Cricetulus griseus: one gene and its partners. The protein of the gene in region 1 purifies or fractionates together with the protein of each later gene. This does not show direct contact. Links are inferred from orthologs where the notes say so. Each region holds a gene or a part of one and is shown in the gene's direction. Other genes may lie near its edges. The genes, in order: Lmna, Kpna6 and Hnrnpm.

What was found.
Region 2: the proteins of Lmna (region 1) and Kpna6 purify together in Homo sapiens (affinity purification with mass spectrometry; 4 studies listed by BioGRID and IntAct, with this or other methods). This does not show direct contact. The link is inferred for Cricetulus griseus from reciprocal best matches to the Homo sapiens genes LMNA and KPNA6.
Region 3: the proteins of Lmna (region 1) and Hnrnpm fractionate together in Homo sapiens (co-fractionation; 3 studies listed by BioGRID, with this or other methods). This does not show direct contact. The link is inferred for Cricetulus griseus from reciprocal best matches to the Homo sapiens genes LMNA and HNRNPM.

The regions. Positions count from the first base shown.
Region 1 is NW_023276806.1:66,025,632-66,029,524, forward strand, and holds the end of Lmna (lamin), read left to right. Parts: intron 1-152; coding exon 153-373; intron 374-462; coding exon 463-685; intron 686-1,304; coding exon 1,305-1,412; intron 1,413-1,508; coding exon 1,509-1,628; intron 1,629-2,023; coding exon 2,024-2,113; intron 2,114-2,816; coding exon 2,817-3,083; intron 3,084-3,345; coding exon 3,346-3,372; downstream 3,373-3,893.
Region 2 is NC_048595.1:23,348,952-23,353,257, forward strand, and holds the start of Kpna6 (importin subunit alpha-7), read left to right. Parts: upstream 1-1,485; 5' UTR 1,486-1,500; coding exon 1,501-1,720; intron 1,721-4,306. UniProt on the Homo sapiens protein: Functions in nuclear protein import as an adapter protein for nuclear receptor KPNB1. Binds specifically and directly to substrates containing either a simple or bipartite NLS motif.
Region 3 is NC_048598.1:95,296,773-95,300,416, forward strand, and holds part of Hnrnpm (heterogeneous nuclear ribonucleoprotein M), read left to right. Parts: intron 1-2,056; coding exon 2,057-2,248; intron 2,249-3,137; coding exon 3,138-3,291; intron 3,292-3,644. UniProt on the Homo sapiens protein: Pre-mRNA binding protein in vivo, binds avidly to poly(G) and poly(U) RNA homopolymers in vitro. Involved in splicing.

The DNA.
Region 1 (3,893 bases):
CTGCCTCCCGTGTGCTGGGATTAAAGGCATGCGGCACCACCACCTGGCTTGCCATGGTGTTTCTAAGGAGAGCCCACAGATCCTGCCCCCCCTTCTTCATTACTTTTGGCCCTTGGGCGCTCATCACACCTTGCCTTTCCCACCCATCCCAGTTGGCAGCCAAGGAGGCAAAGCTGCGTGACCTGGAGGACTCCCTGGCTCGAGAGCGGGATACTAGCCGGCGGCTGCTGGCTGAAAAAGAGCGAGAGATGGCCGAGATGCGGGCGAGGATGCAGCAGCAGCTCGATGAGTATCAGGAGTTGCTGGACATCAAGCTGGCCCTGGACATGGAGATCCATGCCTATAGAAAGCTGCTGGAGGGCGAGGAGGAGAGGTGAGCCAGGAGGGGTCGAAAGACGTTGGCAGGAGCCTCTGGACTGCAACTACCATGACTAACCCCCCACCTTGTCTCCACCTTCCCAGGCTACGCCTGTCCCCCAGCCCTACCTCGCAGCGCAGCCGTGGCCGCACCTCTTCTCACTCATCCCAATCGCAGGGTGGGGGCAGCGTCACCAAAAAGCGCAAGCTGGAGTCCACTGAGAGCCGGAGCAGCTTCTCACAGCACGCTCGCACTAGCGGGCGGGTGGCTGTGGAGGAAGTAGATGAGGAGGGAAAGTTTGTGCGGCTGCGCAACAAGTCCAACGAGGTGGGCCTCAGGATCAGAGTCTTGCATTCAATAGCTGGGCGACATTGGTTCTCATGGAGCATCCATCTCTCTGGGAATTTGGAGTGTGACAGTCCCTACATCTCTAAAATTGTTGGGAAGATGGAAGATACCAGTGTGTGTGGCACAGTATACATGTTCACACAGCCACAGTAGGACCCTTGAGGGATAGGGTAGAGAGGCTAGTAGGTTTGAATACCAGAGATGGTGGTGGCAGACCTGGTTTTTGTTGTTGTTGTTATTTTTTATTTTTTATTTTTTGGATCAAGCTATTCCCCCTGTCCCCATGCCTCAGTACCAAAATCTGTAGTAGCTGGGACTACAGGTGTACACTATGGCATCTGGCCTACCCCGGCTCTTTTGTGAGATAAGTACCAGGTTGAAGACAGACTTTGAAGATTCTCCCCCCCCCCCCATGGAAGGCCTCATCCTCCCCGGGGAGCAGAAAGGGGATGGGTTAGGGAGTTAGTGGGGGGCAGGGGAGTTAGAAGGAACTGGGATTGACATGTAAAACAAGCTTGTTTCTAATTTAAATGAAAAAATAGAAAAAAAAAAAAGTACCGGGTTGAGTCTCCCGTTCTCCTCCCTCCCTCACTGGCAGGACCAGTCCATGGGAAACTGGCAGATCAAGCGTCAGAATGGTGATGACCCCTTGATGACATATCGCTTCCCACCAAAGTTCACTCTAAAGGCTGGGCAGGTGGTGACGGTGAGTGGAAGGGTGTTTGGGATTCTGGAGTGGAGAAGTTGGCCTCTGGACAGGAGCGTTAAGAATAAACACACTTCTTAAACTGTCTTTTCCCAGATCTGGGCTGCAGGAGCTGGGGCCACCCATAGCCCCCCTACTGACTTGGTGTGGAAGGCACAGAACACCTGGGGCTGTGGGAACAGCCTTCGTACAGCTCTCATCAACTCCACTGGAGAAGTGAGTATGTTGCAGCCTGGACCAGGCTCCCCCTGGTGGCCATAATGAGAGTCAGCTGCCCTCAACCCAATGCAACCTTGAATCACGTTCCAAGTGCCCACCCAGTAAGCAAGCTAGAAGTCTCCCCAGCAGGGTAATGGGTGGAAATCAGCCAGTGAATGTTGTTAGCTGCAGACTCGGCCTAAAGAGAGCTGATCTCCCAGGGGTGTCCTTTCTATATGTGTGCACAAGCACACTCCTTGACTCCAGTGTTAGAGGTCAGAGCAAACAGCCGGTTAGGGCAGAGCCTGGGAAGGTTCTAGGTGGTTATAGAGGGTTCTGGGAAGGTACTATGGGTAGACAGGCTGCATGGCCCCCACCCCCTGACTCTTGGGCCTGGGCCTATGTTCCCATAGGAAGTGGCCATGCGCAAGCTGGTGCGCTCAGTGACCATGGTTGAGGACGATGAGGATGAGGATGGAGATGAACTGCTCCATCACCACCACGTGAGTGGCGGCCGCCGCTGAGACCCAGCCCACATGGGTAGCCCTACCAGCCTAGGGCAGCTCCCCCACCTCTATGCCAAAGGTCTTTTCATTAAAGAATGTTTTGGAATGCCACTTGCTGCCCTGGCCTTTCTTCTCTCTCCTCCCTCTACCTTGAACAGGGAACCCAGGTGTCTGGTAAGGAAGGGAGTGGGAACTTTCTGGTGCCAAGGACTGTTCCACGGTGGCAGTGGACAAGGATCTGGATTTGTCTCCTGGGAAGGGGATGGGAGGACAGAGATGGCCCCAGCCCTGCCTCTCCCCTCCCTGCATGCATTCCTCTGCTGTCTCTTCTTCATCTGCTGCATGCTTCTTCTCACGTTCCCCTTATTTCCCGGCAACAGTGATTTCTCTCATTCCTGTCCCCTCCCTCACAAATTAAATATCTCCATCTCTGATCTCCCTCCCAATTTCCCTGTGAGATCCTAGGATTCAGGACAGTGTGAAAGCCACACCTCTCCATCTCGAAGCCTTCCTGGCCATTTTCCCCTGTCATGTCCTTCCTCCTAGCCACAGGCCTCCCAAGTCCCTATTCACTCCAGCTGTCTGGGTACAGAGGTCATCTTCCTGCCCAATGGCCAGGAAACTATAGGAGCCCAGAGCCTGGTCCTAAGCAGTCAGTCCCAGACGCACTGTCCCTCCTGAGCCTTGTCTCCCTTCCCAGGGCTCCCACTGCAGCAGCTCGGGGGACCCCGCTGAGTACAACCTGCGCTCACGCACCGTGCTGTGTGGGACTTGTGGGCAGCCTGCCGACAAGGCTGCCAGTGGCTCAGGAGCCCAGGTGGGCGGATCCATCTCCTCTGGCTCTTCTGCCTCCAGTGTCACAGTCACTCGAAGCTACCGCAGTGTGGGGGGCAGTGGGGGTGGCAGCTTCGGGGACAGCCTAGTCACCCGCTCCTACCTCCTGGGCAACTCCAGTCCCCGGACCCAGGTAAGTCATCATCGATCTGCATCTACCCCTACAGCAGGACACTGCTCACTAAGCAGCAGGGCAGGGCAGGCCACGGGAGTGGGACCCTCCTCCTTGTAGCCCCTCTTACACCCTGCCCCTCCTGTCTGAACCCCAGACTTGAGGGCAGGGCCAGAGCCAGAGGGTGAGGGTTGGGGGGACACACACCCCTTTGGGGTCAGGGAGGGAAAGGATGGGCCAGCCACTGTGCTCGCTCACATCTCTGCATTCTCTTCTCTCTTAGAGCTCCCAGAACTGCAGCATCATGTAATCTGGGACCTGCCAGGCAGGGGTGGGGCCAGAGGCCACCTGCTCCCACCTCACCTCATGCCCACCTCCTGCTCTGCACCTAATGGGAGCAGGCCTGAAGCCAAAGAAAAAATTTATTTCCTGCCTTTGGGTTTTTTTTCTTCTTCTTCTATTTTTTTTTCTAAGAGAAGTTATTTTCTACAGTGGTTTTATACTGAAGGAAAAACACAAGCAAAAAAAAAAGTCTCTATCTCAATCCTAAGTCCTTCCCATACTTTCCCTGTATCTGCCTTAAAATCAATGGGCTTCTTTCTCCAAGGAGCCCAGGGAAAGGACTGCTTTTATAACGGCTAGTTTTTGTCCTGCTGCCTTGGCCTTGCGCTTATCCCAGCACCCTGTGACATGGTGCCTGAGAGGCAGGCGTGGAGTTCTCTTCATCAGCCTCCTCCAGACAGCTGGCCCACTGCCACGCCGGCTGCAGAGAAAGGGGGTGCAGAGGGGATGGCTGAGAGAGGTCAAGCCCCTCCTGGTTCCACTGCACTT
Region 2 (4,306 bases), on another chromosome or scaffold:
CACAAGCAGGTATTTTTGTGTCACAGAACGTGTGTAGAGACAATGTACAAGTTTCAAGGGTTGGAAACCCCTGTGTACCAGAAAGTCCAGGGCCCAGCTCTGGTGGGTCATCAGGCTTGTGCAGTAAGTACTTTTACCTGCTGCCATTTCTCTGGTACTTAATGTCTATGGTTTTAAAGCAGATGGGGCGGGGGGGGGGGGACAATTGGGCCTGGAGATGTGTGAGGTAAGGAGTCAAGTTAGCATGATACATTTTACTTGAGTATTTCTTTTCCTCCTGTTGAGTTTTTTCCCTTCATTGGCCAGGCATTTGGGTAGACTTGGCAATTTGTGATAGGCCCTAAGGTCCAGATACAAGAGTCTTCTTTCTCCTTACAAAAGATGGAGACTAAAGATTGGCCATAACCCCAGCTCTGTGTGTGGCACTAGGTATCAGCCCAGCATTCCTTGATTCAGAAGGCAAAAGCTTTAATTTCCTCATCGCTAGGAAAGGGAGCTCACTAACTTGTGAATTTCTTTTTTCTTTATTCATTCAGTAGTCATAACCCAGGTGGTGGCCATGGTGTTAAGCAATACAGAACTGACCCTTACTCTAACTCGTGAGGTTAGTGTACTCTGCCAAACACACACACACACACACACACACACACCCTCTCGCTGGAGAATCTTTTAAACTCCTCTTGGTGCGATAGTGCACACCTGTGAGCTCAACACTGGGAGGTGGAAGCAGGAGATCTGGAGTTCAAAGTCATCCTTATCTACTTATCAGAGGACAGCCTGGGACACCCCCAACCCTGTCTCACACAAACAAAATAAAATAAAGGTCTGGAGCCTTTCATCCCAGTGCTTGAGAGGCACAGGTAGGTGACTCTGAGTCTGCTGTCTGCCTGGTCTATAGAGAGGTACAGGTCACCCAGAGGCATATAGTGAAACCCTGTCTCCAGTGAACAAAAATGAGAAACAAACTCCAGTCTAATCTTGACTCCTTTTCCTTATCTCCATAGCCTTGAACAAGTCACTTCCCCTCTCTAGACGATCCTTATTCAGTTCTATATGGCCTTAATTATAAAAAGAAGGGGTGTCTTTCTGGGAAAGGAGGCCTCACCATAAAGAAGAAATAAAAACAGGAAAAGTTGAGAACTTGGTACATTGTTCAGTATATATTCTTTGTAGTCCCCTTAAGCCTGTCTATTCCTTCCCTGATTGACACCTGGAGTGGCTGCCTTCTGGGGCCTTATTTTAGGTTTTTTGTTTTTTTGTTGTTTGTTTTTTTTCCTTGGTTTTTCGAGACAGGATTTCTCTGTCTTTGGAGGCTGTCCTGGAACTCTCTATAGACAAGGCTGGCCTCGAATTCACAGAGATCCACCTGCCTCTGCCTCCCGAGTGCTGGGATTAAACCACCAACGCCCAGCTGCCTTCTTCTTTAAACGCCTGCTCACCCTGTCATCTCCAGGAGGGAAAGGGGCGTGAGGGTTGAGAACGCGTTTAGTACGGTATAAAATGTTTGTCCCTGTCAGGCCGCCGTCCTGCAGGTCCGCCATATTGTCTGCCGAAGCTGCCGCTGAAGCCACAGCTGCGGCCGCCGCCAAGTCTGAGCGAGCGGAGCCGCGATGGGTGAGTGAGGCAGCTCGCAGATGGGTGCTCGGGCTGAGGTCTTGGGGATCGGGGTCTGCGAGGGCCTGTCTCTCGTCTGAAGGAGATGTCGGAAGCGTCCCGATAGGTACGGGAGGAGAAATCGGGTCGGGAGTGCCCCTCAGGCCAGTGCAGGGCCGGCGCAGGGCCGCACGGGGAGCCGCTCCCGGGGCTGGTTCCGGATGCCCGGCGCCCCCGGTGTCCCCACGTGGTGGCCTCGGGCCCGAGCTCGCGCGTCCGCGGGGGAAGGCAGGGCCCTGCCCTCGCCCTGCGCCAGCCTGCCTGCCTGCCTGCCTGCCTGCCGGGGAGCTGGGAGCGGGCTCGGGCGGCAGGCCCGGCCGCCGCCACGGGGAGCCCGTCCCCGCGGGCACTGGGCCGACGCGCTCCGGAGCGAGGTGAAGCCCTACCTGCCCACGTAGCGGGGAGAGCCCCTGGAGAGGAGGCGCGGGGCAGGCCGGCTCCCGACCGGTAACCAAGGGCAGGCCGGGTCCAGCGCAGCCCGGGCCTTGGAAGGCCGGGAAAATGCCCCAGTTCGGCTTGCCTCGGTGACAGGCTTCGTAGTGTTTAGAGAGCCCAACGCCAAGACTTCTTGGCATAGGCAGGCCAGAGATTGGAGGTTTCTGGACCAACTCTGGTTGGTTAGCAGGAAAAGAGAGACCTGTTGATCTTTTTTTAAAAAAGAGGACTCTGGATACGAAGGCCCCTGCCCAAAAGAGTACGATGGTGAAGTCTTTGAATTCAGAAACAAAACCAGCACTGGTAATTTATTGCCATCAGTAAAGTAAGAACTTTGCTAATCTGTATGTGCAGACATTGTTGTCAGCGCTTAATGTGTCTTGTTTAGCCTAATTCCAACCTAGTGGAGTGGTTGCTGTTGTTGTTCCTATTTTACAGATGGGGACACTGAGGCTTAGAGTGGTAAAGTAACTTATCCAAGGTCACACAGTGATTAAAACAGGGTGATCACTCCTGAGCTCTAGGATTTAACTGCTTTTTATGCTTTGGCCCCCTAGTGGTGGGCTGAAGGAAGGAAGGGACCGTTTTAACCCTACATAAAGTTGTGAAGGTATTTTGTTAGGGGTCCAGTTTGAAACCTTTAGTCTGAATGAAACTCAAAGGGTTCAGGGTGAATTGCTGACCCCCACCAACTTTAAGAGAAGCACCTCAATGCACTTCTGAAATTTCTTATGATTCCTGATCCTAAGGGAACACAAATTATTTTCCCTGCCTGTGATTTTCAAATCTGAACTGGCCTGACACTTCTCACACCTCATCCTCTTACTTAATTTACAAACAGAATTGCATAGAGAAGGTGTCTAGCACAGTGTACAACAGAACAGTATCCCTCCGTTTCTGAGCTTTCTCATCTCTAGAAAGGGAGTGTGCAGAGCCTAGCCAGCTCTATAAATAACGTGGCATTCTTCCCCACCTTCAGTAATAGCCGTTCTTTCCCCTCCAGAACCTTGTAGAAAGTTTAAGAAAGATCTAGGAGCAACTGGAGCCCTGGAAGGCAAGAGGTAATCTAGATTCATTTTTACAGATTGAGAACAATCTCAAAGAAGATAACATAGCTAATAAACAGCCTCCAGGAATGAGATTCTTCCACATTTTACTGCATATCAGCCTCTAAAATTTAAGGTGGAGCCGGGAGGTGGTAGCACACACTGTCACTTCAGAGGCAGGAGGATCTCTGAGTTCAAGGCCAGCCTGGTCTACAGAGTGAGTTCCAGGACAGCCAGGGCTACATAGAGAAACCCTGTATTGAGAAAAACAAAAGGGGGGGGGTGTTAAGTGAGGTATCTTTTTTTTTTTTTTTTTTTTCTTGTTAGAATGTGAAAGTTCTTCAGCACAAGAGCAAGACCTGACCAAAGTCCCAGAAAGAATTTTTAGTATATCAAGCCAGGTGACTTCCCGCTTAACTTCAGTGATCAAACTAAAGTAAGGATATATTTAATCACAGTGTGTAATCCTAGGTAGTTTGGGTAATCTCCATTACAACAGTGAATTGGTGCTTTGAGAAGATTAGGTAACTAGTGCAAGGCTAGTAATCGAGGCCCATTGGGTACTGGTTATCATATAGCCGGTCTTTACCCAGAGTCTGCTCTTTTGCCTCTTTACATATACTCTCCCAGGGCCTATATGTTATACTTCACTACTCACTTAATAGACCTTTGTTAGTGATTCCACTGTCTGTGTTGGTGAGGAAACTATAGATGTTCCTTTGCTCTTGATTTCTAGCAAAGACCTCAACCATTTGAATTCTAGTGGGTGCTGGCTATCTAATCACCATTCCCACCATCCTGCTAACGGGAATTTGTCATTCTCTTCCAAAATCCAGGGTGGATCTTGATTAATATAAACTCTCAACAGGTCTTTGTAGTTCTGTTGTCCTAGGCAGTGGTTGATTAGGCTGCTTAGATGTGAAGGGAAGTATGGGGAACTTGTGGAAGAAACTTTCTTATTTAAAGCTGCCTTTCTGGCTTTTTAAAGATTATTTGCTACCAGAAGTTGATGGTACACACTTTAATACCATTACTTGGGAGGCAGGGGCAATCAGATCTCTGTGAGTTTGAGGACAGTCTGTCTGGTCTACAGAATGAGTTGCCAGGACTATTTCACAAAGAAACTCTGTCTCGAAAAATAAACAAACAAAAAGATTTACCAGTTTACTAGT
Region 3 (3,644 bases), on another chromosome or scaffold:
TGGTCTCAAACTTGGGATCCTTCTGTCTCAGCCTCCTAAGTGCTGCGATTGCAGTGATGTGTCACAGTACAACTGCCTCTTTATTGTTGTGTATGTGGTATATACCTGTGTGTGCACAGTTATGCAAAGATATTCATGCTAGTGGTGCATGTTGAGAGTCTTCCTCTATCACTCTCCACCTTAGTTTTTGAGATGGGTGTTCTCACTGAACTTGGGGCTCACTGTTGAAACTAGACTGGTAGGCCAGTGAACGCCAGAGATTTTCATTTCCCATTCCCTTCAGCACTGTGACACAAGCATGCTGCAGGACCCCAGCTTTTATGTGGATGGCTGAGGATGGGTACTAAGGCTTGCTCACTTTACCCACTGAGCCATCTCCCTATCCCTCTTTGAATTTTGTAAAATGAGTTTATTACTCATCTTTCTTTATCAAATCCAAACCAAGTTTCTTTTGTTGTTTTTGTTTGTTTTGTGGTTCCAAAGATTGAACCCAGAGCTTTTTGCATACTAGGCAAGCTTTCTGTCACTGAACTATGTTCCTGACTTCCAGTACTTTTTTATTCTCTAGGGTGATGTTTTGTTAATGCTACTGCCAATATTACTTACCTCATTGACTATGTATGTGTTGGGGGAGGGGAGCGGTATAGGTGTCTTGAGAACATATCTGTTCTGTGTAGGCCAGGCTAGCTTATAACCAGATCATCTGCCTTTAACTGCCTGAGTTCTGAGATTAAAAGCAGGTGCCACCCTTCCTGACCTTTTCTTTTTAGAAGGAAGACAACTTATTTGGGACTTAAAGGAATGCATGGTGGGGTATACGGCATTTCTTATGTGTTGCTAGTTAATTGATGAAGCAGGGTTCAGGAATTATGTCGGGCTGGAAAGATGGTTTTTAGTGGGTTAGGAACCCTTGCTGCTTTCCCAGAGAGTCTGCATTTGATTCCCAGCACCAAGTACAAATGCTCACAACCACCTGTGTAACTCTAACTCCAAGGAATATGGTGCCTCTTCTGTCTTGTCTTAGCATGTCCACACATACATGTGCCATATACCCCTATAAGGACACATAGACACAAATAAGATAATCACTCCAGCATCAGATTTCCGTAATTTTGTACAGGTGCCAATACACTGTATTAACTATACTTGAACGCCACCACCAGGTGCCCTTGAGAGGTTTTGGGAAACCTGGGATTATAGAACTGTGATTTCAAACTTTTTGAAAAATCATTGAGTTTAACACAAATTACACTAGGACTCATCCATGCCTGAAGATCTTTTTTCAATCTGGAATTTTCAACTCAGGCCAGCCAAACCTTTCATTTCCCCTAGCTTTTCATTTTCGTTAAATTGAAGATTGTTTTCAGCTTTTGATCTTTATGTTCTTTGTTTCTGAGCTGTTGCTCTTCCTACAACTCTTGGGTTGCTATGATTTATTTCACCTTGTTAATCTTGGTTGGTCTTTGCACGTTTTCTGTTGGCTTGTTTTGTTTTTATTCAGTGTTGGAAATGGAAGCGCCTGGTACAGACTTTACCGCTTGATAAGCTCTGCCACTAAGTTGTATCATCTGACTTTAAGAAGACAGACTTATTGAGTTCACTGCCAGAGGCATCAGACTGGACTGTAACAGAGTCCCACCTGAAGTTTTGTTTTTTTTTTGTTTTTTGTTTTTTGTTTTTTTTTTTTTTTTTTTTTTTTTTTTTTTTTTCCTCTTTTATTTTGAGACAAGGATTCACTTAGCTTGCCTAAGCTGGCTTTGAGTTGGATCTGTAGCTCAAGCAGGCCTTGAACTGCTTTAACAATCCTGAGTGTTGAGGTTACAGATTTTTTTTCCAGCACTGCTACCATGGTTTCACTGAGAGTCCTTTTAAAATTTTATTTTTGTAAATTATTGATGCTGGGGGTTGCACTTGTAAATACTATGGGAACACTATTGTCACTGAATGTACCCCAGCAGAAAAGAGCCTCTGCAGTGGTGAAGGCTGCAGTTCCAACTAGTCTCTGCAAGCCTACTTCTAACCAACTTCTGGCTGTAACATTTTGTGCTTCTTTCAGGATCCTGATGGTGAACATGCAAGGAGAGCAATGCAAAAGGTGATGGCTACGACTGGTGGGATGGGTATGGGACCAGGTGGCCCAGGAATGATTAATATCCCACCCAGTATCCTAAATAATCCTAACATCCCAAATGAGATTATCCATGCATTACAGGCTGGAAGACTTGGAAGCACAGTATTTGTAGCAAATGTAAGTAAATGGGAACATTCTCTAAAATAGAAAAAAAAAAAAAATGGGAGGGTGGAAATAATGTGAAAACAGTATGCATAGAGGGAAAAAAGTTTTAAAATAGACAACTTTTTAGACTGATCTTGTCTCTATTATACAAGTGATTTAAAGTAGTAGTAAGCTTAAGATAGCTTGTTTTTATTTTAAAGTAGGCCTTTGGGTTGGGCTTTGTTCTCTTCTGACTACTGCAATTTTAGCTTCAGGATTGACCTCAGTCCTACTGGGGTCTTGTTTACTGAGCTTTTCAGATGTTTGAAAAAGTACTAGCTGGGTTTGCAGCCTTATTGGGGTTTATGTAGTGTAGTTTTGGTACAGGGTAAGAGTGAACAGTTTATTCCCAGCTGTTTGTTGTGTCTGGGGTGAATGATGATATCTTTATCTTCTGCAAGGACAAATACTTTCAGAACAAAGTGGTTTCAGAAGTGTTGCTAAGACTTAAAAGGGGTGGGGTGGCTTTTTTTTTTTTTTCTTTTATTTGTTGTATTTAGAGACAGAGTGTCTCTAGGTAGCTCTGGCTGTCCTGGAACTCACCCTGTAGACCTGCCTCTACCTCCTGAGTGCTAGGATTAAAAGTGTGTGCTCCCCACTGCCTGGCTGACTTTTTTTTTTTTTTTTATGGATGTGGAGTGTTAGTTTCGTAAATATGAGGAGACTTAAGCTGTACCGTTTAAGACAGATAGTAAATAGCAGGGTTAAGGGCAGGCTCTGCAATCATACTTGAAAATTCTACTAAAGTTGATTTTTCTTGTGAAGTAAGCCAAAGCAAGACTTGTTAATATGATAAAAACACATCTCCCCCCCACACCCCCAAAAGGCTTACCTTGAGGTTTTACTCTCTTCTTTCACCTAGCTGGATTATAAAGTTGGCTGGAAGAAACTGAAGGAAGTATTTAGTATGGCTGGTGTGGTGGTCCGAGCAGACATTCTGGAAGATAAAGATGGGAAAAGTCGTGGAATAGGCACTGTGACTTTCGAACAGTCCATTGAAGCTGTCCAAGCTATATGTATCCTTCTGTGGGAGTTAAGCTCATGGCAAACATAGTCCTAAGTATATTATAGTAATAAGGTAGAAATAACTGTATTTTCTCTGTGACTAGAGTGAATAAATTATTAAAGAATCTGAACATTTTATGGAGTGAAACAGAATGGATAGACGGTGTGGCTGCATCATAGACAGATGCTGTGAATGGTCTTTTCTGGTGTTTTTAGAGGAGTTTAGGAAATGGATCACTTACAAGAACTGGGGCTTTTAATTTATCCCTTATGGACTCTTTGTGTCTTATGAGTAGACATGGTTTGAGGAGGCCCCATCTCCTTGCCTTAAGCTTGCCCTGGGTTTTCATCTTTTTAAAATCAC